Linked DNA regions of Ovis aries. The protein of the gene in region 2 interacts with the protein of the main gene of each other region in a pairwise test. Links are inferred from orthologs where the notes say so. Each region holds a gene or a part of one and is shown on either strand. Other genes may lie near its edges.

Evidence for each region.
Region 1: the proteins of COIL (region 2) and PDLIM5 interact in binary tests that used the Homo sapiens proteins (3 or more experiments, as listed by UniProt). The two-hybrid records come from large-scale screens. The link is inferred for Ovis aries from reciprocal best matches to the Homo sapiens genes COIL and PDLIM5.

Annotation. Positions count from the first base shown.
Region 1 is NC_056059.1:30,644,726-30,660,619, forward strand, and holds part of PDLIM5 (PDZ and LIM domain protein 5), read right to left. Parts: intron 6,552-15,894; coding exon 6,435-6,551; intron 4,181-6,434; coding exon 4,040-4,180; intron 3,313-4,039; coding exon 3,181-3,312; intron 1-3,180. UniProt on the Homo sapiens protein: May play an important role in the heart development by scaffolding PKC to the Z-disk region. May play a role in the regulation of cardiomyocyte expansion. Isoforms lacking the LIM domains may negatively modulate the scaffolding activity of isoform 1.
Region 2 is NC_056064.1:7,481,478-7,497,807, forward strand, and holds the start of COIL (coilin), read right to left. Parts: upstream 7,178-16,330; 5' UTR 7,154-7,177; coding exon 6,909-7,153; intron 6,587-6,908; exon of another isoform or gene 1-6,586. UniProt on the Homo sapiens protein: Component of nuclear coiled bodies, also known as Cajal bodies or CBs, which are involved in the modification and assembly of nucleoplasmic snRNPs.

The DNA.
Region 1 (15,894 bases), on a different chromosome or scaffold from region 2:
CCACATTTGTTTAACTATTATAACAAATAAATTTCAGCTGCAGATGGGGAAGAGTTGGAAATTTCAAGTCTATTTTCAAAAGAGAATCTCTGCTCAAAGAATAACCGTGAGGTAACTTTTATTCTAAATATCATAATTACATGTTTAAATTTTTTAAAAGCCAACTGTACATCACAGATTTTAAACATCAATGTTTAAACTAAGCAGTTTTTAGCTAAAGTCTTACAAAAATTGATATAGGAATGAATATACACATTCTGAAGTGATAAGAAAGGAGTATTTCCGTAAGGTCATAATTATAAGTATTCTTATAGAATGCTATTAAGAATTCTTAATTCTTTAAGAACTTTATAAAAGGATCGAGACATATAGAGCCATCATGAGTCTCCTTTGTTCCAGAATTCTGTTTACAAGAAAACTTTTTGTATTTTCCTAAGCAAAATTCTTAAACTTTTGTATTAAAATTCAACACATTAAATATAAATACTATAATGGAAAGACAAGTCTTGTATTGTACTGCGCTTTATTATAATTTTAAAGATTTGTTGCTATTTAGTCGCTCACTTGTGTCTGACCCTTTGTGACCCCATGGACTGCAGCACGCCAGGCTTCCCTGTCCTTCACCATCTCCTGGAGCTTGCTCAAACTCATGTCCATTGAGTCGGTGATGCCATCCAACCATCCTGTCCTCTGTCCTCTCCTTCTCTTCCTGTCTTCAATCTTTCCCAGCATCAGGGTATTTTCCAATGAGTCAGCTCTTCACATCGGGTGCCCAAAGTGTTGGAGCTTCAGCTTTAGCATCAGTCCTTCCATTGAATATTCAGGATTGATTTCCTTCAGGACTGACTGGTTTGATCTCCTTGCAGTCCAAGGGACTCTTAAGAGTCTTCTCCAACACCACCGTTCAAAAGCATCAATCCTTCGGTGTTCAGCCTTCTTTATGGTCCAACTCTCACATCCATATATGACTACTGGAAAAGCCATAACTTTGACTATACAGACCTCTGTTTTAATTTTAAAGATTACTGTTAAACAAAAGCAAAAATCAGAGATAAAATACGTCTGACAATATCCCAACTGCCCTTTCTAGTACACTTCTCACTGAGGTGGGAAGGTCTCTTCAGGAAACCCTGCACTTTTGCTTTGCAGAATGCCAGCTAGCTTACCTTGTCGAGAACCATTTTCCTTCTCTGGATATCAAACATATTTAGCTTGTGTCTACAACTGTTAATAAAAAGTAATGAAAATTACTAACACTTCCTCTAGAAGTAGGTCCATGGACAAACAGTCGGTTCATAACTGCAGGCATATAAAAAAAAAAAAAAGTTCATTTAAACAATAAGGAGCCTGATTTGAAAGGAAATCAGGGATGCATTTTTTTTTAGAGTAACTTTTCCTGCTTAAAAACAGACTGACTTACCACATAACAACTACATACCAAAAAATTATAAAACTGTTCTCAGTTTTGCAATGATAAATGAAAAACATTAATTCTTCAAACAAGGTATATAAGGATTTTTATGTTGTTCTTTTTCTGTTCAACAGTGAGAACAAAATAACTTACTGGAATAAAAAATCAAAAGCTGAATGAGCATGGCACAAATGGAGAAACAGGGTATTTTCTCATAACCAGTGCTTTTCCTCATTCCATCTCCATCTGATGTCAGCCAAAACATACCATAAGCCATTTAGTTAAAAATAAAGACAGAAAGAAAGCAATAGAGGATTTAGAGATTCTATTGTGTTCTCAAAGGAATTTTTATTCCAAGGGTAGTCAGCACCTGTCTTTGTATAAACTTAGCCCTAATAATGTTATATTTCTGCTCATTTTTTTTTAATTTTAATATCTTTAATTCTTACATGCGTTCCCAAACATGAACCCCCCTTCCACCTCCCTCCCCATAACATCTAATTCCACAAATAATTTGGGGTATTTTTTTTCCTTAGAGCAAAATGTACAATGATATGTCTTCCCCCTATTCAAACATCTCCCTTAAAAGTTATCCAGAGTTATACAGAGCTTATTTAATTGTACTTTACTGTGCTTCATACATACTGTGCTTCTTTCCACAAACTGAAGGTTTGTGGCAACCTTGTCTCAAGCAAGTCTATCAGCATCATTTTTCCAAATGCATTTGCTGCCCACTTTGTGTCATATTTTGGTAATTCTCACAAGATTTCAGAATTTTTCATTATGATTACATTTGTTATAGTGATCTGTGATCAGTGATCTTTGGTATTACTACTGCAAAAAGATTATGACTCTCTAAAGGTTCTGATAATGGTCAGCATCTTTAAACAATAACAGTTTTAAATTAAAGTATATACATTAATTTTTTAGACATAATGCTATTGTACACTTAATGGAGTACAATATAGGGTAAATATAACTTTTATATGTACTGGAAAACAAAAAAAATGTGTGACTTGCTTTATTGCACTATTTACTTTATGGCAGTGGTTTGGAACCAAACCTGTAATATCTCCAAGGGATGTCTGTAATTAAGTATATTGAGCACATCCATAACACTGTTGGTAGGACACAAACATATGATCAACAGGTCACATCAGGCTTTTACGAATTACAGTCATACTCTCTGCCATTAATTTTATGTTCTTTCAGAAATAATATAGTCATTTCATTAAGATTATACCTTTAGGAAACATTCAGGATTTTTTTACTTTTACATTATACCTAATAATTTTTAGCATAATTGTTAAGTCTGGGAGAAAAGTTCATTTTTGTATTTCAGCATTTCCCAGATATGGTGAAAACTAAGTTGTCTGACAAAGTAAAACTCTCATATCTAAGAACTATAAGATAGTAGCCAATCAAAAGCAATTATTATTCTTTTTCATTTTTTTGAAAAGTATAAAGGTGTATCTTATTAAACAATTCTCATATAGCAATATCCATGCAATAAAAAACAGGGTCCTATTTCATACCAAATATCAAGTGTGCTAATAAGAGATGTCACAAAGGATTAAAAGTCAAGTTAATAATCATACAAAATAATGTGCTCGTACATTATTGCTGCATTGAAATTATAGTTAATTTAAAACTGGACACAAAACAGCTCTAGGGTTTCTCATTTGGGCTGTTAATACAGTGCTTCAGTGTCAGAGAAAGCAGTACCTTTCACAGCAAGCCCCCCGTTATGACATCCACTCTCCCCGTACCTGGTCCTCTTAACATGGACAGAGCCAGTTGATTTCCTCAAGGGCTGGAGATACGAAAAAGCTAAAGGCTTGGATACAGGGCTGATGCAAAGTGCATCCAGGAGTGAGTGATATTTTTCGGGACTGGAGAGCCTGGTGAGCATTCAGAAAGAGTTTTAAGTCGAAAAATCACACTACCGATAGCAGGAAGTATGTAGTTTTTATAGTCTGTGATTTGAAACATTCCCAAAGAGAGAGAGAGGGACAGAAACAGAACAAAGCAGCAGAAAGAGGATGAAGTGTCTATCATGTTATTCTACTCATTAATACAGAATTGAGTAAATTCTCATCAAAGTTGATCAAGGCAATCCTTTGGAAAGCATCAAAAGCTATAAATACTAGAAATTATGTAAAAATAAAACCCTACAACAATAAAAAGGTTTAGTCTTTCTACAGGATGAACAGACATTAGAATAGTTAGGCTTTAGATCAACTTCAACCATAACCAGCTTGTGGGAGAAGATAAAACCAACAGAAATCTAAAATACCTATTTATGCTTGATTCCGTTTCAGAATTTTGTTTCATAAAAATGATAAACACTCAAAAGTCAATAGGCACACAACATGCAACAATCCACACAACTGAGAAATATCACAGATAAACGGTGGTAATGGAAAGAGATAAAAGGATTATTTTAGGAAAAATCAGCAATAAACTCTGTGGGATATAGCCACAACCTAGAAAAAAATGTCCCCAATACAATGAAGATCTCCTAACAGGGCTGTGGCTGATTCCAATGGGAATGCTTTCCCAGCGGTGAGTTGTAAGAGTGAAAAGCACTGGGTTCACATCGGATGCACACCGTACATGCAGCTCTACCTGGTTTTTGCAGCAAGAGCAGCAGACACAGTAGCGGCTGCGCTGCTCAGAATGGCAGCACTGTATCTAGCAGGAGAAGACAAGGTAGATAAGCTTCGAGAAGCTTCCAAAGGACTGGTTGCCACATTTCTTGTGGAGCTGCTTAAATCGGTCAGCAGAAAAACAGAGAAGAGGAGCAAAAAGGAAAGTGAGAAGGGGTAGCATAATAAAGATAAGATAGCAATCATGCCATGTTAATACTTAGACTTTTAAAGGCGTGACATGTCACAAGTGTAAAAGGAGCTCAGATCCTTTATTCACTGTTACTATGATTTCTCTCAGAAATTAAAATCTGATACATAATCCTCCATAAAACTGGGTTAAATACTATACAAACATTTTTGAATGTTTTTAAGCTCACAGTCTCTAAAGCTCACAGTCTCTAATCCTACTTAAAGTGAAATCAGTATCATATAACAATAGAAATTTGAAGACTGATTTGTCAACAACTTCCTTTCTTTTTCTTTGTCAACAACTAAGCAGAAAATAAATCCAAACATGAAGGGTGAATTTCAATAAGCAGAAAAAGAAGGAAGGTTACACCAACTTTTCCAAAAAGTTTCTACATAACGAGAATGTAGAATTGATATACACCTTAGAGATAATATACACCCAGAGCCTGATGTTTTAATGAGACTCGAGTTTTCAAGAGAAGCAGGTACAATTGCCTGCTTATTCAGAAGCTACAATACATATTAATACAGATAAGAAATAACTTTTAAATATTGAGAGTAAAACTATTTGGAGAGGGCAAACACCTTTGCAGAAATAAACAGTAGTTACGGTGAATATGACTAAAAGATCACCTTCTCTAATGATGCTCTGTATTTCTATTTTCAGTTAGCTCTGTAAAGATTCAAAAATGCTGCTATGAAATTTTACCTTCAAAATTCCAATTATTTAAAGTAATAGTTTCCTTTGGTCCTTTAGAAAAGGTCATATGCCTAGATAGGAATTAACATTCCATCGTTAGGATTGTAATGATTTTCAAATCTGGTTGCTGCTGTTGCTTAGTTTCTCAGCCGTGCCTGATTCTTTGCGACCCTATGGACTGTATGTAGCCCTTCAGGCTCCCCTGTCCATGGTGATTCTCCAGGCAAGAATACTGGAGTGGGTTGCCATGCCCTTCTCTCAAATCTGGTTATCAAGCTGGAATTGAGAACTTCTTTATTAGGTAAAAAGAAAGTTTAAAATGCATGGGATGAAATCTATGTCTCTCTGCTTTAACTACGCATATAAGTTCTTAATGAATAGCCTCACTATACTATGACTGCCTTTTCCAAAACTGGTGACAGTGGCCACCTCTAACACAATATAATTATGTACCAAACTCAACTCAAGCGAATAAGAGCTCCGATGCCCAAAACTGTGAGGGGTGATATAAGTCTCTTCTCCCTGTCTCCTCTTCTCCCTTCTAGAATAATTTGATAATTCATTATTCCTAGTTCCACTGGCTATAATTTTACAAAACATTAGAAGACAAATTAAGAAAACCGTGGTAAGTCATTTATCCATCTATCTATCTATATTATATGCACACACAGAGAGAGAATTGCTTAAGTATAATTTTTGGTAAGTCTATAATTTAATTGAACTGTGCAGATATGTTTTAACTGTTGTGAATGGCTAGAAAAGAAAAAATGGGGTCTAAGAAAAAGAAAAGAAAAATGAGATAAGCAGCAGAGCACAAGAATATGAGTGTCATACAAAGTGGAAGAATACAGTTACAACTGACTCAACTTTGAGTTTTTCAATTACTCTGCATCTTTGAGACAATGGCTTCTATTTCAGGGAAATAATGGCAAATAATGAGACACTTAAGTCTACAAAAAAGTCATCTAAAAAATCAATCAGCTAAATTATCCTTCTTCTATAAGAAGAAAAGGAAGCTATAATGAATTTCTTTCATCACATTGTATCACAAATAATAGTATAAAAAGATTGAGTAGAGCAGAGTCCGTCAAAATCTTAGGAAAATTAACCTCAATATAATTAGAATGTATCTGGGCACCTAGAACATAAAATTTCTATCAGTTCTTTTTTAGATGGGAATGCTCTAATTCAATAGACTTATGACAAACTCAAGAAAGATGACTTTCCAAAGCACAGTGAACAGAGAAAAGGCACAGATTTCCTGACTCTAAACTAGAACTCAGAATCCAAACAAAAAATGAAAAATTTAAAAGTAGTGTAAAGCAGTGTTCCACCAAGGCTGAGCGCCAAGCTCTGTCTATATATTAGAGATGTCAGTTCTGTAATCTATGATCAGCTTTTCCTTTGTATTAATAGTCAAACAGTTTTAGTACCTATCACCACCAGCATTAAAATTTAGACAGACAAGAGGAAAAAACTCTACCTAGAATACGAAGTTACTTTAGAAACTGTGGCTACTTGGCCACCAATATGTAAAACCTGAGCAGTTGTAGGTGGGTGAGGTCCACTCTGAGGTAGGTCTTCCAGAGAACTGTCAAACCTGAGTTTTCAGAAGTAAAATAAACAAGGCAGAGGAAATATTAATGAAAAGTACAGACTTTAATCATGTATACCACCTTAAAAGCTCATTGGTTCCATTTTGGAATACCGCTAGATTTTTTTTTTAAACTTTCTATCTGTAGAAGGTTAAAACTAACACCAAACACCCTCACAATCAACAAATATAGGCCGTTTTTTAACATAGCAATTTTTATGTGATAAACTATCATGCTTACAGGGGGAAGAAAGGTGGGTGGGAATTTCCATCACTATGTATTTTGCATGCTTCAGAGAAACTTAAGCTCCAAGAAATTAATTAAGTTGCCCAGTATCATATCATATCATATCATATCATATACCTAGTAAGGCTCAGATGGATGCTGAACCAAGTCTATATGTACTCTTTCTAAAACCTTATGCTTTCTAGCATCCTGTGGGGCTGAATACCACAATACACAAAAGCAACTACGAATTTCCCTTCAAGTCAGAATAATTATTTGCAGATCTGAAATAATATGGATGTCATACCTTGATGTAAAGAAACTATTTCATCTTATCAGAAACAAACGTTTACAAGCAATTGTGTTGTTTGAATATGATGCATTTTGTTTTCCTGATGTCTTTACCATTTTTTCTTTTGAATGTCAGAATTAAATTTAAGAGTTATTACCAAGTAAAGAGAAGATGAAAAAATTCAGTGTGAGGCCTGAAAGAAGAAAGCACCAAGTATAACACTTTGGGAAAAAAAAATAAACAGGAAAAAACAAAAAATTATTCATTTTTAAAAAAGCCTGTGGAAAAAAGTAGAATGGATCAGTCATGTCTATTGAGTTTCAAATGGAAAATGTAACACTAAGATAAAAATAGAAGAGGTTATATTCCCATTTTTTATTTAGTACTGGTCATATCTTTAACAGAGTGTTGGAAAAAAGTGTAGATAACTTAAGAAAAATGTCAAGGTAGAAGTAAACATCATTTAAGAGGCAGAGTAAAAAAAGTTAAACAAGAAAGAAAAGAAGTGCTGTAACAAACCACACTCAGCAAACCACAGCTCCCAGGTCAAAGTCAGCCTGCCTCCTATCTTCATGCGGCCTGGGAACTAACAATGGCTTTCATATCTTTAAATGATTTAAAAAGTTAAAAAAAAAGACTATTTCACAACACGTAAAATCTATATGAAACTCAAATGTCAGCATCTATAAATAAGTTTTCGAGAACACAGCCAGGTTCAGTCACTCATATAGCGTCTATGGCTACTTCCATAAAACATGGAGAGCTGGGCAGCTGCAACAGACCCCCATGACTCACAAAATCTAGTATATTTACTACCTCATGTCTTACAGAGAAAGTCTGTTGACCCCCTGTCACAGAGACTAATGTCTCCACACAGCTACCAGAGCGAACTCTTAAGAACATAAATCTGACCCTGTCTGGTTCTTAGATGCTGCCAGCACTGCTCCATGGATGGCTGTGATCCTAGGCTCCCTACTCACCAGCCTTTCTTACAGAGCTTTCTCTCTGTCTGGCTTGCTCCAGTCCAGCGGTCTTCCATCTCTTCTTAAACCCTCTTCCCACCTCAAGGCCACTGTGCAGTCTATTACCTCTCACTTTCTATACCCAGCTCTCCGCCACATCTTCATCACACTAGTTCTTAAGTAACCTTCTGGCCTCAGTTTAAATGTCACCTCCTCAGGGAGGTCTCCCTAATTCCCCAAATTACCTAAATGCGGCCTGTGTAATATGGTTTTATACCACCTTGTACTTTTTCTTCACATAATTTGTTATTATATTAATTATACAATTTATGTGGTTATTTGTTTGAATCTGGACTCCCTCACTAGATTAGAAGCTCCCTGAGGTCAGGGACAGTTACGTTCACTGGTGTAAGTAAAACAAAGTGCTTACAACATAGAAAACAACAAATAAATATTTGTTGAATAAATGCATTGGAGAAATTTATTGTTTTCAAGTACAAACTCACTATATCTATAGTGAGTTTTTTCCACAGAATATATCTCGTACCTTCTTGAGACTGTTTCCCAATTCAGCTGAAACAGGTATTACTGTTTAAGAACTGATACAAGAACAACCTCAAAGAAATGACTAGAACTCCAAAAAAAAAACTTTTAAAATGTCCTTTAAAACATAAAGAATTATCAATATCCTAGAAAAAATAAAATATTATCAATACCTATATATTGGTACATAATGTATATACTACATAGTATGTAATACATATCAATATCTATATTTTAATATATAATACATAATTAATATATAATACATAATGAGGACAGGTAAGGAAAACACAGTGAATTGAAGGAGTTGAGTTTTCCAACACCTCCACAAACTCTGTTGACTGGAAAAATGAATACCATTTGAAAATAAAGTTCATATAACTCATAAAATACCCTTTAAAGCCAGATTTCTAAGTTTCCAAACAAATGTACTCAGGAGGTTTCCCATGTGTTACACACACTGATTATCTATTCCTTTGCTTAGCCAATGTCTGAAAATAATAGACTTAAGAAAATTTTAAACTATCTCATTTAGTACGGAACAGACATCAATATCTATTCTCATTCTGTCATTCCCCAATATATATTCTTTTTAGGGTTGGAAGAAGCTCTAATTAATAGCACCTCTGAGCAGCAAGACTTTCAGCTTGGTCTGTTACTTAAGTCACTTGTCATTTCTCACTAGAGAGAGGTATGAACACTTCCCAGATATGTCTGGAGAGTTGGGCTTGCAGACTTTTGGCCTGCTTTTCTCAGGGAAAATGAACAAAGAGCTATTTGTGCATTATCTTTCTTTGCAATTGTGCCTTTCTTTGTATAATCTCTGTACTGGGCCTTTCTGCGCTTTTCAGTGGGGACCCATGTAAACCGTCTGCTCAGGCAAAGCAGGAGTGAGGTTGCCCATCTGATTAACTTACCAACCTGACCATACCTGTAGGAGCAGCCAGAGGAACTCTACCTACCAGTCCTGGCAACTCTCAAATTGCTAATTCCTTATGCTGTAGACTCTAGCTCCTCCCCTTTTCTCAGCAGCCTCAATCAATCTCTGGCCTCAATCAATTTCTCTCACATTTTCTATTTGCCCCCTACAGGCTTTGCATCCCCATTCAAAAATGCTATAGTTTCTCTTAAAACAATAACAACGAAAACACCTTCACCTTCTATTTCCCCCATGTACCTTAACATCCAAACACTATGAAGTAATTTTACTTACATAGTCTCCATCTCCTCAGCAGCCTGCCCCTCTTCCACTGCCTCAAGTGGGCTCACTCTCCAACCTCCAGAAAACCATTTTCTTGCTGAGGTCCTGAATGACCTTTCTGTGGCTAAATTTAATTGACAATTTGCATTCCTCACTTTTTTTTTTATTGTGGTTAAAAAAAAAAAACAACATAAAATTTACTGTCCTAACTATGATAGAAAATAATCTGAAAAAGAATAACTGAATCACTTTGCTGTATACCTGAAACACAACACTGTAAGTCAAATAGACTTCAACTGTAAAAAAAAAAAAAAATTTACCATCTTCACCATTTTTAAGTGTATAGTTTAGTAATGCTAGGTTTAGCTTCTGTTGTGAAACAGATTTCCAGAGCTCCATGGCTTTTTCATCTTATAAATCTGAAACTATATACTGATTAAATAACAACTTTCCTTTCCCCAATTCCCCCTAGCTCCTGGTAACTACCATTTTATTTCTGTTTCTGTGAATTTGACCACTGTAGATACCTCACACAGGTGGAATCATACAGTCTTGTCTTTTGGGGTGCATTCCTAATTTCATTTAGTCTCATCATAGGAGCCAACTGACCACTTCTCTTCCATCTTCTGTGCTCCGACCTTATCTAATACACTTACCTGTTTTTAGTACTATTTCACTAGTTATTTCTGGCAGAAGGATGATAAAATGCAGCTCAGTTACAAAGTATCAAAATGTTAATTTGGCTCATCCATATTTTGATGGAATGACATCCAAACTATATAAGAACAAATTCTTCACAAAGACTAACCTTGAAAAGGAATACAGAAACCTTCCCTCGCAGTATGAAAACTTTCAGTCTCCAAACACAAATTTCAATCCTCCTCACTCTCCACATGAATGTCACAAAATAATCAGACAGAATGATTTATTAATCCCTACATGGCAGGTTTTCATTAAGAAAAAAAAAATCAGAAACCTTACATATATATTTTATAGCAGGTAAAAGAGGAAAATGACAATAAATTGTTGCTAGTATATTCAGTCTTCTACAAAGCAAGCATTCACAGAATACTGTGAAAGCAGAAAATGGAAAAAAAAAAAGTGAGCTATACCAGCATTGTAACTGCATTCTGTAGTTTTGGGGTTCACTGGAGGAGCAAAGTTATTTATTTTAGCCAAGGAAACTGTCTGTCATCAGGAAAAATGGGAATCTTCTGCCAGCTTCTCAACAACAAATATGCATTCATTTGTAATTACAATTTCCCCTCTGGTAAGTTAAATTAACAAAACCTCAGGTGGAAATTTCTGACACCTTTTATCACAAGCTAAATGTATTAATTTCAACTGCCTTTTTTAAAAAAAAAATCAGCCTAAAAACATTATTTGAGCCTGTTAATTCTACATTTATTATAAATTTCATCATGAAAATAATTTAAAAATAAGAAAATAGGGCACCCTTGATTTGCACATGGAGGGGCTGAGGGGACTGACTGTCAGAAGTTAAAAGAAGATTATGAAATGAAGAATAACACCATTCAAAATGAGGTTTATTTTTTTGTGAGAGCGAATAAAAGAAACTGGGTCAAAGAAATTTTACTTGGTGCTTTGTACTTTACTGAAACAAGGAAAAGAAGGAAATATAAATGGAGGCCTTGAAAGAACTGGAGCTTATTTGCACGGGGAATTTGTTCTCTGTTGTTTTATCTCATTCTCTCTCTCTCTCTCTTTAATGGGGTTTAGTTGCTTTACAAAGTTGCAGTAGTTTCTGCTGTACAGCCAAGTGAATCAGCTATGTATATACTCATACCCCTCCTTTTCGGATTTCCTTCCCATTTACATCACCACAGAGTCTGAAGCAGGCTTTTCTTCAGCACCTTTCAAATTCTGCCCTAGCTTTCATGCATTCCTCTGATCTTGCTTTTCTGTAATGGATGATACATTATTAAATGTCCAGTCTTAGTATTATGTGAACTCTTTTTGTTGTGTTCAGTCACCCAGCTGTGTCTGACTCTTTGCGACCCCATGGACTGCAGCATGCCAGGCCTTCCTGTCCCTCACCACATCCCGGAGTCTGCCCAAGTTCATGTCCATTGCATCAGTGATGCCATCGAGCCATCTTACCCTCTGACACCCTCTTTTTCTTCTGCCCTCAACCTTTCCTGGCATCAGGGACTTTTCCAATGAGTCAGCTGTTCGCATCAGATGACCAAAATACCAGAGCTTCAGCTTCAGCACCAGTCCTTCCAACAAGTATTCAGGGTTGATTTCCCTTAAGATTAACTGGCTTGATCTCCCTGCTTTACAAGAGATTTTCAGGTGTCTTCTCCAGCATCACAGTTCGAAGGCATCAATTCTCTGACTTTTTGCCTTCTTTATGGTACAGCTCTCATAACCATACCTGACCACTGGGAAGACCATAGCCTTGATTTTACAGACCTTAGCTGGCAGAGTAGTGTCTCTGCTTTTCAACACACTGTTATATTTGTTATAGCTTTCCTGCCAAGAAGCAATCATCTTCTGATTTCATGGCTGCAGTCACCATCCGCAGTGATTTTAGAGCCCAGGAAGAGGAAACCTGTCACTACTTCCAGCTTTCCCTCTTCTATTTGCCAGGAAGTAATGGGGCCAGATGCCATGATGTTAGGTTTTTTAATGTTTAGTTTTAACTGGCTCTTTCACTCTCCTCCTTCACCCTCATCAAGAGGCTCTTTAGTTCGTCTTCACTTTCTGCCATTAGGATGGCATCATCGCATATCTGAGGTTGTTGCTGTTTCTCCTGCGTATCTTGATTCTAGCACGTAACTCATCCAGCCCAGCATTTCTCATGATGTAGTCAGCGTATAGGTTAAACAAACAGGGTGACAGCAGACAGCCCTGTCGTACTCTTTTCTCCATCCTGACCTCCATCCATTTGTTCTATAAAGGGTTCTAACTGGTGCTTCTTGACCCGTATACAGGTTTCTCAGGAGACAGGTAAGGTGGTCTGGTATTTCCATCTCTTTAAGAGCTTTCCCCAGTTTGTTCTGATCCACACAGTCAAAAGCTTTAGCGTAATCAATGAAACAGAGATAGATGTTTTTCTGGAATTCCTTTGCTTTCTCTATGATCCAGCGAATGTGGGCAGTTTGATCTCTGGTTTCTCTTCTTTTTCTAAACCCACCTTAGACAACTGCAAGTTCTTGGTTCACATAATGCTGAAGCCTAGCATGCAAGATCTTAAGCATGACCTTACTAGCATGGGGGATGAGTGCGACTGTCCGAAGCTTAGCATTCTTTAGTACTACCTTTCTTGGGAACTGGGAAGAGGATTAACCTTTTCCAGCCCTGTGGCCACTGCTGGGTCTTCCGGATTTACTGACATATTGAACGCAACACGTTGACGGCACTATCCTTTAGGATTTTGAAGTCTTTAGTTATCTATATTTCTTGATCTCTTTAGAGAAAATATAGCATGGGGTCTAAAGATAACATAGATAAAGAATGAGTATATATTTGCACAATGTCTATAAAAATACCAATATAATATAAAGATTTTAAGGTATAATACCAACTTAGAAATCACTTGTAACTATTCCTGATAAAAGTCCATCTCCCTCACTAACAGCAAGGTACTTTGCACTAACCTTAGCTCCTCTCACTGCACATCATCAGTTTCATCACTGAATCATCCCTATTAGTGATTTCAATGATTTCTACTATATAGTTAGGAACAATTTCTTGTATGGGGCAAAAATATGCCATTTTGTAGTCGTAATATAATCCTAATATTATAAAAAGAATTTACGATGAAAGTATTTTTCCAAATCCAGATTAAAATAATGTATGATTCAATAGTGTTGAGTCAATCTGTTATCTATTTGAAAATATAAATAAATCTTTCTGAATGCCATGTTCAACAGCCACCCAGTATGAGTCCTTGGAGAAACCAGGTATCCTGGGAAAGTCACTATACCGCCCCATGTCTAGCGAGAATGTTCTTCCAGCATTAGAGAACAGAAGCCACTGGCCACATGCTCTCTGGCTAAATATTCTGGATCACACATCCTGAGCTCTCCCATTCAATCATTCATTGCATCCATTCGTTCATTCAGCCACAAAATCTTATTCGAAGTCCCATTTCACACCATGTATGCTGCCCACTGTAATTTCCTGTTCTCATGGTATTTATGGTCTAATGTCCACTTTTCCGTAACAGACCCCAAGGAGCAAGTCCACCATACTTCCCATCTCTGTTTACCTGCCACAAATACTACCTATTGAGTCATCCATCCATCATCTTCTGAACTCTCATTTCTTTACTGTTCTATGTCTCCTGATCTGATCCATTTCCCATACCTCTCAGACCTCACAAACCCTCTGCCATTCTAGATGTGCCTGCTGTCCCCCAGAAGTCCCTTTTTTCTCATACTGCATAAGTTTATAAACCTAGAGATGGAGCAAGTGTCCTTCTGCTTCCTTTTTACACCATCAATCATCTTTGATCCTGCAATATGCTGAGTGCTTCGGGGCCTGGGTCATTAGACTACACCGCTGACTCCGCACCTATTCACTGTCTGGCCTTAACCCTGCCCACTGTCGGCTTTAGCCCCGGGCTCACTGTCTTTCTCTTTACCCCATTCCAACAATCTTCCTGATGACCTCAATGTTATCATGCTGAGTCACTAAATAATCAGACTGCTGCATTCTCTAACTTCTTCAGTTCAGTGATAATCCCTCTACAGTTAGGTCACTGGCCTGGAATGCCACAACCACGCACTCCAGAATTCATAACCTTTACTTTCCATCAGCAAGTCTAACATGTCTAAAATCTCTGTTTTAAACACCCTTTTCCGCAACTCACTCCTCTACATTTTGACTCCCTTAGCCTTTTTACTGTACTGAGTTGATTCGGCAATTTCACTGACTTTTACCAACTGAATTAATGCTTACCAAATTCACTGACTCGGCAATTTTCCATTATCCACCATCAACAACCCCCTTATTTCTAAACCCCTGCCAGTTCTTCCTCTAAAATATAAACCAGTTCAAGTCTCTACAGCTCTATTAGAACTTTCACGGCCTGAGTGACTATCACCTCTTGCCTGAATTAAGAAAACACACAGAACTAGCCTTCTGTTTTCATTGTTTCTCCTTTATAATTAAGTTTCCATAGTATTCAGAATGATCTTTTAAAAACTGACATCAGATGTTACTCCCATGATTAAAATCTTATATTTGGTTTCTTATTTGTGACAAGAATCTAAACCCCTTAATGTTATACACAAGGCAATAAATGGCCTGGCATTTATTTACTCAGTTGCTTATCAATCTCCACAGCCATCTATGAGGCCTCAGTCTAAGGGAGAGTGTTTGTGGAAGAAGATGGGGCTATGGACTTTAGTCAAGGAACTAGCTCATATTATCAGCTAAAAACAAGCACTTATATCATTGCCTCTGACCCTAAGACCGCTTAAATGTCCCATGATTTTTCAGTTGATTTTGTTGGGGTTGGCTATATAACCGTCAAAGAGCAAACATAATAAACATTAAACATAATATGCACATGAGAGTTTACTAGCACAGAACAGAACTATTATTTGCTTATAATTTTAGAGGCCATGTGAAGTGGCAAAGTCATCTTGGGTTCATTTTCCTCCAAAATCCCTAGTTCTTCAGATATTTGTTTTTTGATAACTTTATCCCACTCCTCCCAATATGTTCAAGAAGAGCAAATAATTTGATCTATACTGCACATAACCATATCAAATTTCTTTCCTTCCTTTAAAAAAAAATCTAGATTTGGTCCATTTTCCTACATGGCCAATATATTATTGAGGAAGATCTGGTTATGAAACATACTTGCTATACCTTCCTGCTTCATATTAGCTACAAATTAAGGCAGTCAGCTGTAGAAGGGGTCTTCATCCAAGCCACTGACTCATCTCCAAACAATGTCCTTTCATTAAACTCCTTCAACCTGTTATGAATCTACTTGATAATCATTAGCCTCATTTTACCATTAAATTCAAGAGGATCATAAAAGCTTTTGATAACTATTAAAATTAAGATCTCCCCCAATCTATCCAAAATGGGTTAGTAGGGTGTGATGTGTTTCTTTAGAACTTAATTCTGGGTCACAGCAATCC
Region 2 (16,330 bases):
CCTGTACAATGAGCAGTGAAGGCAGACGGCCTGTATAGTTTACCTGTCTAATTCCAAGAAATTTTTAAGACTCCCTGTTCACTCAAACTCTTTGCAGGGCAAACTGGGTAAAATGTATTAAAATGTAAGGTAGTCGCTTTAAATCTGCAAGTTCACTTTGAGGATTCTATCATATAGAAATAGAGAAGACATGATCATTTGTACTGCCTGACACCTCCCCACTCCCCCTAGTCATTGCCAAGGCCAAAGTGACTGAATTCAAATCTTCTTCTGCCTTTGGCTAAAAGTTTAAAGTATCATTATTTCAACTTATCTCATCTGTGAAAATCAGGGTAATAATATAGTACTCAAATGAGCTACCATATATGTTTAGAGCAGTGCTGGGCTACGAGCAAGAGCTATCCAAATGTTAGTTCCAATTTTTATTAATACAATGAATGTATTAATAAAATGAATGTCTTCTGAGGACAGGAGTTGGTGGGTTTTTAATGAACTTGTCCCATCAAATGGAGGTGAAATTCAAAAAAGTGGGTGTAAGCAGGAATCTGCAATCTCTTGGGGCCCCATGTGTCCCCCGCATCACCACCTACAGAGAAGTAAGTTGTCTGAGCAAGGGCACACAGTTAATGAGCCACAGAGCCAAAATTCGAATCCAGAGCTCTGAATTCAGACCCTGATCTCTTCATCATTCTGCTCTCCGTCACTCTTATCTGTCACACAATATTGAACAAAGGTAACCCACACACTCTTGGCATAAATACAGACCTGTACAACTTTTCTGGAGGCCAACCTGACAGTACTTATCAGATTTTAACATTTGACCAAGTAGTACCCCTTCTAGGAATGATCTTACTGAGTCACTGCTCACGTACACAAAGATACTGAAGAATATTCACCACAGCAGTATGTACAGGGAAAACCCAAGGGCATTAGACAAGCATGCTCCTTGATATGACAGAGAGGTGCGCCCGGCATGCTATATTCCTCAAACCATCAGCATGCCACAAAGTGAGACTTAGCATCAGGAGGCCCAGAGCTGCACGAGGAGCAGCAGCTTTAAAGGCGAGGACCTTCTCTGGCATCCAAGATTTCCGGAAACCGGACTGCTCTCAGTCTGGCTCAAACACTGTCTTCTTCACGCTCGCTGGCAGCCTCACAGACATGTCAGAGGGCTTGGCTGGCCATCCAAGGAGCTACTGATCACAGCACCATGAGATGAGAACTCGTCTCTAATGTTCTGTATTTAATAATAAGCATCAAACGTCACAGGGTCAAAGAGTGACCGAGGAGAGCAGGCACTTTCTCACAGAATGACTCTTCAACAGAGAGCTCTCACCTCACCTGGTCGCTCTCCAAGCCAGGGGCTGCCGGCAGGCCCCTGTGAAGCTCCCTTCAGGGAGTGTAGTAGGCTAAATTGTGTCCCCTTAAAATTCTTCTATGAAGCCCTAACCCCAGAGTACTCTAATGTGACCGTATATAGAGACGAGCTTTTGAAGAGGTAATAAAATTAAGGTAAGGCCGTTAGAGTGGGCCCTAGTCCACTGTGACTGGTGTCCTGATGAGAGAGAGAATTTGGACACATAAGGAAACATCAGTCACGCGCCTTTTTGTGACAACAGAGAAAAGGTCATGTGTAGACACAGTAAGAGAGATACCCACGAGCCAAGGACAGAGGCCTCAGTAAAAACCGAAACTTGCCAACATCTTAATCTTAGATTTTCAGGCTCCAGAATAGTGAGAGAGAACTTTCGGTTGCTTAAGCCTGTGGTATTTCATCAGAGTGGCCCTCGCAGACTAACGGGGCTCCAGGCAAACGGGAGTGCATCCTCTTCCCAGGGGGGATGGAGACCGCCTTCAGGAGGCCACTGTCAGCAGCCTGGGGGCAGAGCAGTCAGCTTCTGGGGGTTCAAAAGAAGGGGCTGTGAGGAAGCGACCGCGCCAGACAGTGTGGAGATGCTCTTGAGCCTCCAGGGTTAATTTCTCAGGATTCCCACAACCAGGCTCCACGTTCCCTCGTGAGAATTCTCTAAGCACTCCTGGCAATCCCAACAAAGCCCTTCTGCTGGTCACACTCATCTATTCGCCAAGTTAGTATTGCTTCTGTCTCCACAACTATACAGGGCCATCCAACATTTCCCTACCTCCCCTTCAGTTACTGCTGAATTCCCTGATCATTTGGGTTCCATCATGATCTCTCCTTTCTCCTTTTTGCACTTAGCAGCAAAACGTGGAATAACGACCCAGTCCACATGGCACAAGAAGATAGTATACAGAAACACAAAACTATTTTGCTCTACTCCAAAAATATTAGGTACCGTGGAGAAAAGAGATTGTGTTCTTCTGTAGCTCTGAAGAAAAGTGAGTCTGAGGAAGACGAGCAAATGACTGGGGACATGAAGTCGCAAAAACATACAGGACTTTTCCAAATTCAACTTTTTCCTACGGTCCGCCCCATTCACCACTGAAGCCAGCTGCCGAGATATTTTTGACATACGCGACTGTGCATCTGGTGTTTAGGAAGAAGTCTGCCTGCCATCGGTGCTGTATTTATTTCCTATAACAGCTTTCATAGTTTGCTTTTGACATTGCTAACTTCATTATAAAGAGTTTAATTTTCAGATGATTAAATGAAGTACAACTGCAATTAGCTATCAGCAAGTTATTAATTCATGAAGCAGGAGAGAGATCAGAAAGTAAGCATAACAGGACAGGATGCAATATTTATAATAAACAGTCCCTGAACTGCAGAAAGAACAGAATGAATAAAAAAGGAAAACAACTTTTTTTGAAACCTGGACTATTTCAAATTGTCATTGGAAATAGCTAAACGTTATTAGTAAATCATAGTGTTCCTGCTTTTATAAGAAAGGCAGAAAGATACATACATGCACTCAAAGATACAGCAACTGTTCCAAATTAAATTCCCTGATGCTATTAAAAAATCATATGAATCTGACATACTCTGGGAAAAAGAATATTCAACATTCAACAAAAAGCAAGCAGAAGGAAGTAGCCTGGTTCACAACTCTATTTTTTTTTTTTCACTGTAAATGAAGCTTTTAAAAAGAGGCCTTGATTTTGTACATACAAAATTAATACACAGAAATCACTTGCATTCCTATATTATAACAGTGAAAGATCAGAAAGAGAAATTAAGGAATCAGTTCCATTTACTACTGCAACAAAAATAATAAAATACCTAGGAATATACCTACCTAAGGAGACAAAAGAACACTGGAAGACACTGATGAAAGGAATCACAGATGACGCAGGCAGATGGAGAGACGCTCCACGTCCCTAGACTAGAAGAGTCACTATTGGGAAAGTGACTGCACCGCCAAACGCAACCTACAGATCCAGTGCTGTCCCTACCAAACTACAAGCGGCGTTTTCACAGAACTAGAACGAAAAAATCGCACAGTTCATATGGAAACACAAACGCTCCCAAATGACCAAACAATCTTGAGAAAGAAGAATGGAGCTGGAGGAATCAACCTTCCTGACTTCAGACTACACTACAGATCTACAGTCATCAAGACAGTGTGGAACTGGCACAAAAACAGGACTATAGACCAATGGAACAAGACAGAAAGCCCAGAACAAACCCATGCACCTATGGGTACCCTGTTTTTGACAAAAGAGGCAAGAATACACAATGGGGCAAAGATAGTCTTTTCAATAAGTGCTGCTGGGAAAACTGGACAACTACATGTAAAAGAATGAAATTACAATACTTCCTAAAACACCATACACAAAGATAAACTCAAAATGGATTAGAAACCTAAACGTTTCAGACCAGAAACTATAAAACTCTTAGAGGAAAACATAGGGAGAATATTCAATGACATATATCACAGCAAGATCCGATATGACCAACCTCCTGGAGTAATGGAAAGGAAAACAAAAATAAACAAATGGGACCCAATTAAACTTAAAAGTGTTTGCACAGCAAAGGAAACTACAAACAAGGTGAACACTCAACGCTGAGAATGGGAGAAAATAATAGCAACTGAAACATCAGACAAAGGATTAATTTCTAAAGTACACAAGCAACTCATACAACTCAATACCAGAAAAACAAACAACCCAACCAAAAAGTGGGCAAAAGACCTAAGCAGACATCTCTCCAAAGAAGCCTCACAGATGGCTAACACACACATAAAAAGATGCTCAACATCACTCATTATTAGAGAAATGCTAACCAAAACTATAATGAGATATCACCTCACACTGGTCAGAATGGCCATCATCAAAATATCTACAAACAATAAATGCTGGACAGGGTGTGGAGAAGAGAGAAACCTCTTGAACTGTTGGTGGGAATATACACTGATACAGCCACTATGGAAGACAGTATGGAGAGTCCTTTAAAAACTAGGAATAAAACCACCCTCTGACCCAGCAATCCCATCACTAGGCATAAACCCTGAGGAAACCAAAACTGAAAAACACACATGTATCCTGATATTGGCTGCAGTACTATTTACAACAGCAAGGACACGGAAGCAACCTAGATTTCACCTACATACGCACAAGGGGCTATTACTCAGCCATAGAAAGGAACGCATCTGAGTCAGCTCTAAAGAGGTGGATGAACTGGAGCCTATTATACAGAGTGAAGTAAGTCAGAAAGACAAAGACAAATATATATGAACAAAATCTATGGAATCTAGAAAGATGGTACTGATGAACCTATTTGCAGGGCAGCAATGGAGACAGAGATATAGAGAACAGACTTACGCACACGTGGGGTGGGGGAAGAAGGAGAAGATGGGAGGCATGGAGAGAGGAACATGGAAACATACACACTACAGACAGCCAGGGGGAATTTGCTGTATGGCAAGGAACTCAAACTGGGGCTCTGTAACAACCTAGAGGGGTGAGATGCGAGTGAGGTGGGAGGGGGATTCAAGAGGGAGGGGACAGAGGCATACCTATTGTTGATTCATGTTGATATTTGGCAGAAACCAACACGATATTGTAAAGCAATCATCCTCCACTTTAAAATAAATAAATCTTAAATTTTAAAAAAAGCAGCCCTAAATAAATCACTCCAATATATGAATCTGAACTGAAACTGTTAGGGGAAGCACACTGACTGAAACTGCCCACCCTGGCCAGGCACCATAATAACCATCTGCATGAGTTGTTTTAGGACAGGAGGTCCTGGTAAGGAACAGGGAACTAATAAGCCTCTTGATGAACCTGAAAGAGGAGAGTGGAAAAGTTGGCTTAAAGCTCAACATTCAGAAAACGAAGATCATGGCATCTGGTCCAATCACTTCATGGGAAATAGATGGGAAACAGTGTCAGACTTTATTATTTTGGGGCTCCAAAATCACTGCAGATGTTGACTGCAGCCATGAAATTAAAAGACGCTTACTCCTTGGAAGAAAAGTTATGACCAACCTAGATAGCATATTCAAAAGCAGAGATATTACTTTGGCAACAAAGGTCCGTCTAGTTAAGGCTATGGTTTTTCCTGTGGTCATGTATGGCTGTGAGAGTTGGACTGTGAAGGAAGCTGAGCACCAAAGAATTGATGCTTTTGAACTGTGATGTTGGAGAAGGCTCTTGAGGGTCCCTTGGACTGCAAGGAGATCCAACCAGTCCATTCTGAAGGAGATCAGTCCTGGGTGTTCATTGGAAGGACTGATGCTGAAGCTGAAACTCCAGTACTTTGGCCACCTCATGCGAAGAGTTGACTCACTGGAAAAGACCCTCATGCTGGGAGGGTTTGGGGGCAGGAGGAGAAGGGGACGACAGAGGATGAGATGGCTGGATGGCATCATGGACTCGATGGACCTGAGTTTGGGTGAACTGCGGGAGTTGGTGATGGACAGGGAGGCCTAGCGTGCTGCGATTCATGGGGTCGCAAAGAGTTGGACACGACTGAGCGACTGAACTGAACCAGAAGAGTTTGGGAAAGGTCAAAAGGAGACACCACCTGTCTACCCACCTCCCAGAATCCTCTCTGGCATCCGTCTTCCTGAACAAGGCTGCACCACCAGGAAGGGCTCTGAGTCAGAATGATTGGCTAAGGACAACCCAGAAACTAATCCCATCACCATTAAACCTGAGCCTGCAAGCCATGAGACAGAGCTGTTCTCCTGGGTTCCCTTACCCTACTGCTCTCCACCGGGTGCCCTTTCTCAATAAAAACTCTTGCTTGGTCAGCGCAGGTGTCTCCTCCAACAATTCATTTCCTACTGTTAGACAAGAGCCCAGTTTCGGGCCCTGGAAGGGGTCCCCCTTCCTGCAACAAAACGACTGGCTTACCATTTTACTGAGACATATGAGCCACACGTGAGCAATTTACACAAGACTGCACCTTCACACTCATGTCAGTGTCTGTCTCTCTCTTTTTTTTTAAGTTTCCAAAAGCGTATTTAAAACTTTGGTTTCCCAAGTCAAAGCCAAAAGGTTACAAACACCTATTTAACCGAACCCAAGTGAGACAGAGAACTGGGCCGCCAGGCGGTCCGGCAGGCGCTCCGAGGCCGGGGAGACCGCACCTGGTGACGAAGCCACGCCTGTTGGGCGCCCGCTGGGGCCCGCGAGCCGCCGGGGCAAGGCCGAGCCCGAGGCCGGCCCGCGCCGCGCACCTAACGACGGGGCGCGGCTGAGCAAGCGCTCGGCAAGCCGAGGCTGGACGGGACGCCGAGGCTGGACGGGACGCCGAGGCTGGACGGGACGCCGAGGCTGGACGGGACGCGGGCCCCGCCCAGACAGCGGGCCGGGGCTTGTCCGCGGCCGGGCCCCCGCGCCCCACGGGGCGGCCGGAGGCCCCCGGGCTCCCGGCAGGCCGCTCGCCGCCCCCCGCGCAGCCGGCCGCGCGGCCTCCGCGCCGGCGGCGCCCCGGCGTGTGCGCAGGCGCGCCCGCCCCCCGCGCCGCGCCGCGCGCGCACCTGAGGCAGTCGTTGTCTCGTACCAGGCGCGCGCTCTCGGCGGGGGGCAGGAGCGCCCCCTCCAAGTAGAGGCCCAGGAGGGCCCCGGAACTGAAGCCGAAGCGCTGGCGGATCAGGCTGATGAGGTCCGTGACGACGCGGCATCCGTTCAGGTCGATGAGAAGCCAGAAAGACGTGCAGTGCGGGGCGCCGGGCGGCGGGTAATCGAATTGAAGCCGTAGCCTAACCGTCTCGGAGGCTGCCATCTTGCTCGATGCGCAACGGAAGCCGAGAGACTCGACCGGGCGACCGAGAGGCGTGCTCGGGGCCCGCCCCCGGCAGCCTACGAGCGTGTGCCCCCTATTGGTGGGAGCGGCTGCGACGGAACGTTGTGAGGGCGCCGCGGCGCGGAGCGGGTTCCGTTCAGGACGGCGCGCCGGCAGAGGACAGCAGATAGGCGTTTACACCTTTTCTCCTGCGCGCTAGGTACGGTCCGCGTTCAGTCAACTGTCTAGACAAACCCTGCTCAGCACTGCTCTAAGATATTTGCTCATATACGTAAAATAACACAATCTATTCCGGATTGAGTTATTATTTCTAGTGGGACATGGTTCATCAAAATAGCATGAAACACCACACACTTTGTCACATAATTATTAAACAGGAAAAATAAAATGGGCATGGCAATATAGCTATGAATAAATGCAGCCGTGTGTGTGTGTTTTTTTAATCTGAATCTTTTGAATGAATATTACTAAATAAGACAGAGCTCGCCATCAATTTTGGACCTATGTTTTTGGTTTGTTTTTATAGATGTCAATCCCTGAGAAAACTTGCTGACTTATATAAATAGATAAGTATGGAGGGACTTATGTCACTGGCAGTATCAGTCAATTCCTTAAACTTCCAAGGTACATGCTAAACTCACCTACAGATCATGCTTTAAAAAGTATTCCATTAGCCCATCAACAGAAAATTGGATTAAAGACTTACTGAATATGACCCAGCCCATCAAAACTATACCCAGGTTTCCCCTCAGTCAGCCTTTCCCATCAGGAAACTTCCAGTAAGCTCTCCATCAGACGCAAGACAGAATGAAAACCACAATCACAGAAAACTAACCAAACTGATCACATGGATCACAGCCTTGTCTAACTCAATGAAAGTATGAGCCATGGTGTGCAGGGCCATCCAAGACGGATGGGTCAGGGTGGAGACGTTTCCTTTTAAAACGTGGCCCACTGGACAAGGCAATAGAAAAACACTTCAGTAGTCTTGCCTGGAAAACTCCATGAAGGGTATGAAAAGGCAAAAAGATACGACACTGAAAGATGAACTCCCCAGGTCGGTAGGTGCCCAATATGCTACTGGAGATCAGTGGAGAAATAACTCCAGAAAGAATGAAGAGACGGAGCAAAAGTGAAAACAACACTCAGTGGTGCATGTGACTGGTGATGGAAGTAAGTCCAATGCAGTAAAGAGCAATATTGTGCAGGAACCTGGAATTTTAGATCCATGAATCCAGGCAAATTCAGTTCAGTTCAGTTCAGTCACTCAGTCCTGTCCCACTCTTTGCGACCCCATGAATTGCAGCACACCAGGCCTCCCTGTCCATCACCATCTCCTGGAGTTCATTAAAAGACATCATTTGAGTCGGTGATGCCATCCAGCCATCTCATCCTCGGTCGTCCACGACTCCTCCTGCCCCCAATCCCTCCCAGGATCAGAGTCTTTCCAATGAGTCAACTCTTCGCATGAGGTGGCCAAAGTACTGGAGTTTCAGCTTTAGCATCATTCCTTCCAAAGAACACCCAGCGCTGATCTCCTTCAGAATGGACTGGTTGGATCTCCTTGCAGTCCAAGGACTCTCAAGAGTCTTCTCCAACACCACAGTTCAAAAGCATCACTTTTTGGCACTCAGCTTTCTTCATGGTCCAACTCTCACATCCATACATGACCAATGGAAAAACCATAACCTTGACTAAACAGACCTTTGTTGACAAAGTAATGTCTCTGCTTTTCAATATGCTATCTAGGTTGGACATAACTTTTCTTTCAAGGAGTAAGCGTCTTTTAATTTCATGGCTGCAATCACCATCTGCAGTGATTTTGGAGCCCCCAAAATAAAGCCTGACACTGTTTCCACTGTTTCCCCCATCTGTTTCCCATGAAGTGATGGGACCAGATGCCATGATCTTCGTTTTCTGAATGTTGAGCTTTAAGCCAACTTTTTCACTCCTCTCTCTCACTTTCATCAAGAGGCTTTTTAGCTCCTCTTCACTTTCTGCCATATGGGTGGTGTCATCTGCATATCTGAGGTTATTGATATTTCTCCCAGCAATCTTGATTCCAGCTTGTGCTTCTTCCAGCCCAGCGTTTCTCATGATGTACTCTGCATAGAAGTTAAATAAGCAGGGTGACAATATACAGCCTTAAAGTACTCCTTTTCCTATTTGGAACCAGTTTGTTGTTCCATGTCCAGTTCTAACTGTTGCTTCCTGACCTGCATACAGGTTTCTCAAGAGGCAGGTCAGGTGGTCTGGTATTCCCATCTCTTTCAGAATTCTCCACAGTGCATTGTGATCCACACAGTCAAAGGCGTTGGCATAGTCAATAAAGCAGAAGTAGATGTTTTTCTGGAACTCTCTTGCTTTTTCCATGATCCAGTGGATGCTGGCAATTTGATCTCTGGTTCCTCTGCCTTTTCTAAAACCAGCTTGAACATCTGGAAGTTCCCGGTTCACGTATTGCTGAAGCCTGGCTTGGAGAATTTTGAGCATTACTTTACTAGCATGTGAGATGAGTGCAATTGTGCAATAGTTTGAGCATTCTTTGGCATTGCTTTCTTTGGGATTGGAATGAAAACTGACCTTTTCCAGTCCTGTGGCCACTGCTGAGTTTTCCAAATTTTCTGGCATATTGAGTGCAGCACTTTCACAGCATCATCTTTCAGGATTTGAAATAGCTCAACTGGAATTCCATCACCTCCACTAGTTTTGTTCGTAGTGATGCTTTCTAAGGCTCATTTGACTTCATATTCCAGGATGTCTGGCTCTAGATGAGTGATCACACCATCGTGATTATCTGGGTCGTGAAGATCTGTTTTGTACAGTTCTTCTGTGTATTCTTGCCACCTCTTTTTAATATCTTCTGCTTCTGTTGGGTCCAGACCATTTCTGTCCTTTACTGAGCCCATCTTTGCATGAAATGTTCCCTTGGTATCTCTAATTTTCTTGAAGAGATCTCTAGTCTTTCCCATTCTGTTGTTTTCCTCTATTTCTTTGCATTGATCTCTGAGGAAGGCTTTATCTCTTCTTGCTATTCTTTGGAACTCTGCATTCAGATGCTTATATCTTTCCTTTTCTCCTTTGCTTTTTGCTTCTCTTCTTTTCACAGCTATTTGTAAGGCCTCCCCAGACAGCCATTTTGCTGTTTTGCATTTCTTTTCTATGGGGATGGTCTTGATCCCTGTCTCCTGTACAATGTCACAAACCACAGTCCATAGTTCATCAGGCACTCTATGTATCAGATCTAGGCCCTTAAAACTATTTCTCACTTCCACTGTATAATCATAAAGGATTTGATTTAGGTCATACCTGAATGTTCTAGCGGTTTTCCTTATTTTCTTCAATTTAAGTCTGAATTTGGTAATAAGGAGTTCATGATCTGAGCCACAGTCAGCTCTCGGTCTTGTTTTTGTTGACTGTATAGAGCTTCTCCATCTTTGGCTGCAAAGAATATAATCAATCTGATTTCAGTGTTAACCATCTGGTGATGATCTATGTGTAGAGTCTTCTCTTGTGTTGTTGGAAGAGGGTGTTTGCTATGACCAGTGCATTTTCTTGGCAAAACTCTATTAGTCTTTGCCCTGCTTCATTCCGCATTCCAAGGCAAAATTTGCCTGTTCCTCCAGGTGTTTCTTGACTTCCTACTTTTGCATTCCAGTCCCCTATAATGAAAAGGACATCTTTTTTGGGTGTTAGTCCTAAAAGGCCTTGTAGGTCTTCATAGAACCGTTCAACTTCAGCTTCTTCAGCGTTACTGGTTGGGGCATAGACTTGGATTACTGTGATATTGAGTGGTTTGCCTTGGAAACGAACAGAGATCATTCTGTCGTTTTTGAGATTGCATCCAAGTACTGCATTTCGGACTCTTTTGTTGACCATGGTGGCTACTCTATTTCTTTTAAGGGATTCCTGCCCGCAGTAGTAGATATAATGGTCATCTGAGTTAAATTCACCCATTCCAGTCTATTTTTGTTCGCTGATTCCTAGAATGTCGACATTCACTCTTGCCATCTCCTGTTTGACCACTTCCAATTTCCCTTGATTCATGGACCTGACATTCTAGGTTCCTATGCAATATTGCTCTTTACAGCATTGGACCTTGCTTCTATCACCAGTCACATCCACAGCTGGGTATTGTTTTTGCTTTGGCTCCATCCCTTCATTCTTTCTGGAGTTATTTCTCCACTGATCTCCAGTAGTGCGTTGGGCACCTACTGACCTGGGGAGTTCCTCTTTCAGTATCCTATCATTTTGCCTTTTCATATTGTTCATGGGGTTCTCAAGGCAAGAATCCTGAAGTGGTTTGCCATTCCCTTCTCCAGTGGACCACATTCTGTCAGACCTCTCCACCATGACCTGCCCGTCATGAAATGCAAAAAAGCAAAATGGCTGTCTGGGGAGGCCTTACAAATAGCTGTGAAAAGAAGAGAGGTGAAAAGCAATGGAGAAAAGCAAAGATATAAGCATCTGAATGCAGAGTTCCAAAGAATAGCAAGCAGAGATAAGAAAGCCTTCTTCAGCAATCAGTGCAAAGAAATAGAGGAAAAGAACAGAACGGGAAAGACTAGAGATCTCTTCAAGAAAATTAGAGATACCAAGGGAACATTTCATGCAAAGATGGGCTCGATAAAGGACTGAAATTGTCTGGACCCAACAGAAGCAGAAGATATTAAAACGAGGTGGCAAGAATACACAGAAGAACTGTACAAAACAGATCTTCACGACCCAGATAATCACGATGGTGTGATCACTCATCTAGAGCCAGACATCCTGGAATATGATGTCAAATGAGCCTTAGAAAGCATCACTACGAACAAAGCTAGTGGAGGTGATAGAATTCCAGTTGAGCTATTTCAAATCCTGAAAGATGATGCTGTGAAAGTGCTGCACTCAATATGCCAGCAAATTTGGAAAACTCAGCAGTGGCCACAGGACTGGAAAAGGGCAGTTTTCATTCCAATCCCTAAGAAAGGCAATGCCAAAGAATGTTCAAACCATTCAGGTATAACTTAAGTCAAATCCCTTATGACTATGTTAGGTAGTTAGAATAGGAAACAGGAGTCCAAAATGGCGGTGGCTAAAAGACAGGGAAGGGAAAAGCCTGAGAAAATAGAACAAAGGAAGGTCAAAGGAAGGTCAGAGTATTGGAGTGAAGACATCAGGCAGAACAGCAATTTACATAGGACAGGGCGGGGGGGGGGGGGGGGGGGGGGGAACAAACATAAAAAGAGGAGCCGTCCACTCTTCAGGGTGTGGGCCATTGCTGAGGAATGCAGTCTGGCTAGGTTTTGCCTGCGGGGTGAATTCATATGCTGATGATGGGGAGGCTCATCCCAACTATTGGGGAACCACCCACTCCTCCATCTTTTGACAGTGCCTTAGAGCAGTCCTGCCACCTCTGGATGTGTCTTTTGGCTTATAGATTGGGGATTCAGGTTTGCTTGAATTGGACTCGTCATCTTGGACCCAATCCGTTTTAATCAGTTTACGCTATGCCCTTGCGCTATGTCATTCTGTCAAAGGTTGTGCTCTGCCCCCTTCCCTCCTGTTTCATGCTCTTTTCCTCAGCCCCATCCGGGCCCACAACGCTGCCTCTACAATCTTCTGGAGGGGCAACCAGAAGATCGCTGGCCCCTGGGAGGGAAATACTGTGCGATATCCAACCCCTCTAGACATTCAGGCCTTCATCTTGCATGTTCCTACAACATGTACACCACCAGCATCTCCCAGGGGACCCGCTAGGGCGGGCGACGGGCACACAATGCCTGTCCATCAGTTGGCATCCCTTCAAAGGCAACTGGGCTTCCAGGGATAATGTTTGCCACTTTGGGAGTTAGCCCTGCAGGCCGTTTGAGCCCAAACCCTTACCACCCTTCTCCTAAAGTTACAAACATACCCCTGGATCAAATCTCCACTCCACTTTTAAGGAACATCTGGTCTGTTGCCTCTTAACAATTTGTTCTTAAGCCAATTTCTAACTCCTACAATCAGGACCCTGTTCCCTTGTAGGCTCCACCCAGGCTATTACTAACATACCTTAATGCCTCAACAGGGCCAGATAACCTCTCCTTTGTCATTGCTCATGTTATTACCTAAAGTAGGTCTATGACAACGAAACTTACCATTGGAGACACCCTAGCCTGCTCTTGTGGAGGACGAGGGGAAGAAATCAGCGACTTGCAGTCTCTTAGGGCCGTAAGAGGACAAGGCTTGTGACTGTTTCACTGTTTCCCAGCCTCAGAGCACAGGCTTGGATTGCTTTACATCATCATATCTATTCCCTCCACGGTGGACCAACCAGCAATGAGTTAAGATTACAACCCCTTAATCCTACCCAGCACTGGTCATGCTGGAGACCGTGGGGATGCCCAACTCCAGTCCGGGGGTCCCAGGAGGTCAATCTGCCTTAACCTGCCTAGGGATCTTGGTCCTGGTCCTCAAAAGGTTGTCACGTCTCAACCTGCTCGGGGATCCGCCAGTCCAGGGGTCCCAGGAAGCCGTCATGCCTCGACCTGCCTGGGGATTCGATCTCTAAGAGGCTGTCACGCCTTAGCCTGCCTGGGGATCTGCACCCTGACCCGGGGACGCCTGGCTCTCTGGCTGCAACAGTACTGGGTAGAATAAGCTTCAGAAAGACTCACTCTTAAGGAAGTCCACCCATGGAAACAGAAGGAAGCCTATTACTTATGGGACTGTGCCTAGTCTCAGCAGTAACTCAGGAGCCCGACGAGAACCCCACTGCCTTTCTGGAAAGGCTAAAAGAGGCCCTCCTAAAGTTTACCAATCTGGACTTAGACTCTTACGAGGGACAGGTGATTTTAAAGGACAGATTCCTGTCCCAATGTGCATCAGATATCAGAATTAAGTTACAACAGCTAGAGCAGCCAAACCCTGCTTCCTCTTTAGATGAGATGGTCCACACAGCCACCAATACTTTTTTATAACAGAAAACAGGAGAAGGAGGCCAAGGCCCAGGAAAGGGAGAAAAGGAAAGAGACAAGGCATGCCCAGATGCTGGCCACCCAGCAAGGGAGCCCCATGGCAAACCCCGAGCCCTTGAAGGACAAGGCACAAGGCAAATGACTGACCTGTAGACAGGAGGGGCATTGAGCCAAAGAGTGTCCAAACCATGATAAGTCTCCTCAAACAGCTTGCTACAAATGCCATCAACTGGGACATTGGGTGGCACTCTGCCCTTGGGACCCAAGAACCTCAAGGTCAAGTGCCAAGCCTTCCCTCACGATGGTTCAACAGGAATGAAGCGGCCTGCTCCAGCCAGCCCGCCTGTCACAGATAACCATCACGGGGCTGGAGCCAAGGGTGCAACTGGATGTGGCCGGTAGGTCCGAATTTCTTGGTTGACACAGAGGCTACCTACTCTGTCTTGATCTACTCCGGAGCCTTCTCCTCCCACACCTGTACCATTTTGGGTGCTACAGGAAAAATAACTACTAAAAGATTCACCCAAGCACTTCTTTGTTGCTGGGATGGACAAATATTTTCCTACCAGTTTCTGGTGGTCCCTGAGTGTCCTACTCCCTTACTGGGAAGAGACATACTTACTAAACTGGGGACCACCCTTGTGATGGGAAGCTTTTCAGCCCCTAGAGCCCTATAGCTTCTGGTTACTACTGAAGAACCCATTATACTTTCTCCAATAGAGAGGGACCAAAAACTATGGGAGGGCAAAATTAACCCCCAGGCATGGGACCAGGGGATTCCTGGATGAGCCCACCAAGCTGAACTGGTCATCACTGTCCTCCAAGATCCCACTCGGTTTCCTAACGGGAAACAATATCTCCTCAGAAGAGAGGCTTGGGAGGGACTATAGCCTTTAATAAATAAATTCCTTGTTTGTGGGCTACTGGTCCCCACCAATTTGCCATGTAACACCCCAATCCTCTCAGTAAAGAAAAAGGACAGAATCTGGTTAATGGTTCAAGATTTCCAGATCATCAACAAAGCTGTAGTCCCCCTCCATCCCACAGTACCCAAACCCTAGGTAATCTTGGGAGAAACCCCACCCAGTGCCAAGTGGTTCACAGTCTTGGACCTCAAAGATGCTTTTTTTTTTTTTTGCATACCATTGGCTAAAGAATCCCAATATCTTTTTGCCTTTGAGTGGAAGGCCCCAGGAGAAAAACACCAACAGATGACTTGGACACTATTACCTCAGGGATTCAGAGATAGCTCCCACCTGTTTGGATAGGCCCTTAGCCGGGATCTCCTAGAACTGGACATAGATGACCTACTAATCTGCTCTCCAGATGAGAAAAGTGCCCAACAACATGCAATTCAGGTTCTAAACTTCTTGGTAGAAAGGGGGTATAAAGTCTCCCGTGCTAAGGCACAGATGGTCGAGACAAAGGTCACTTACCTGGGAGTTCAGATTACACACGGGTCCAGGAGGCTGTCCTCTGATCGGGTACAGGAAATCCTCCGGTTGTCCTCCCCCACGACTCAAAAACAATTGCGAGCTTTCCTGGGGCTAACTGGGTAGTGTAGAATCTGGATACCCAACTATAGTCTAATTGCCCAGCCCTTATATGAAAGCTTAAAGGGACAGGATGATTCAATCCCACTGATGTGGGGAACTCCTCCAAAGAAGGCAGAGGCTACACTAAAACAGGCCTTAACTCAGGCACCTGCCTTGAGGTTGCCAGACCCAGAAAAAGCATTCCAACTTTACGTCCATGAAAGAGAGGGAGTAGCCTTGGGAGTGTTAACTCAAAAGTTGGGATCTGAGTCCAGCCTGTAGTTTACTTATCCAAGAGGCTCAATCCAATGACCCGAGGCTGGCCACCCCCTGCCTTCGAAATATTGCGGCTATTGCAATCATGATAGAATATGCTTTAACTCTCCTTTGGGGGCAAACTAACTATTTTTACCAGCCACCAAGTGAAACAATGCCTAAATGGGAGAAGCCATTTATGGATGTCTGATCAAAGAATCCTTAGATATCAAGTAATGCTGATGGAAAACCCAGGCCTCAGTATATTCCCTTGTGAGGTTCTTAACCTAGCCACCCTCCTGCCTACCCCCAAGGGCTCTCTCCCCTTTCACTGTTGCCTAGAAATCTTGGACCACTGGACAAAACCCCGAGAGGGATTGTCAGAAGATCCTCTGACCAATCCGGAGGAAATCTGGCACACTGAT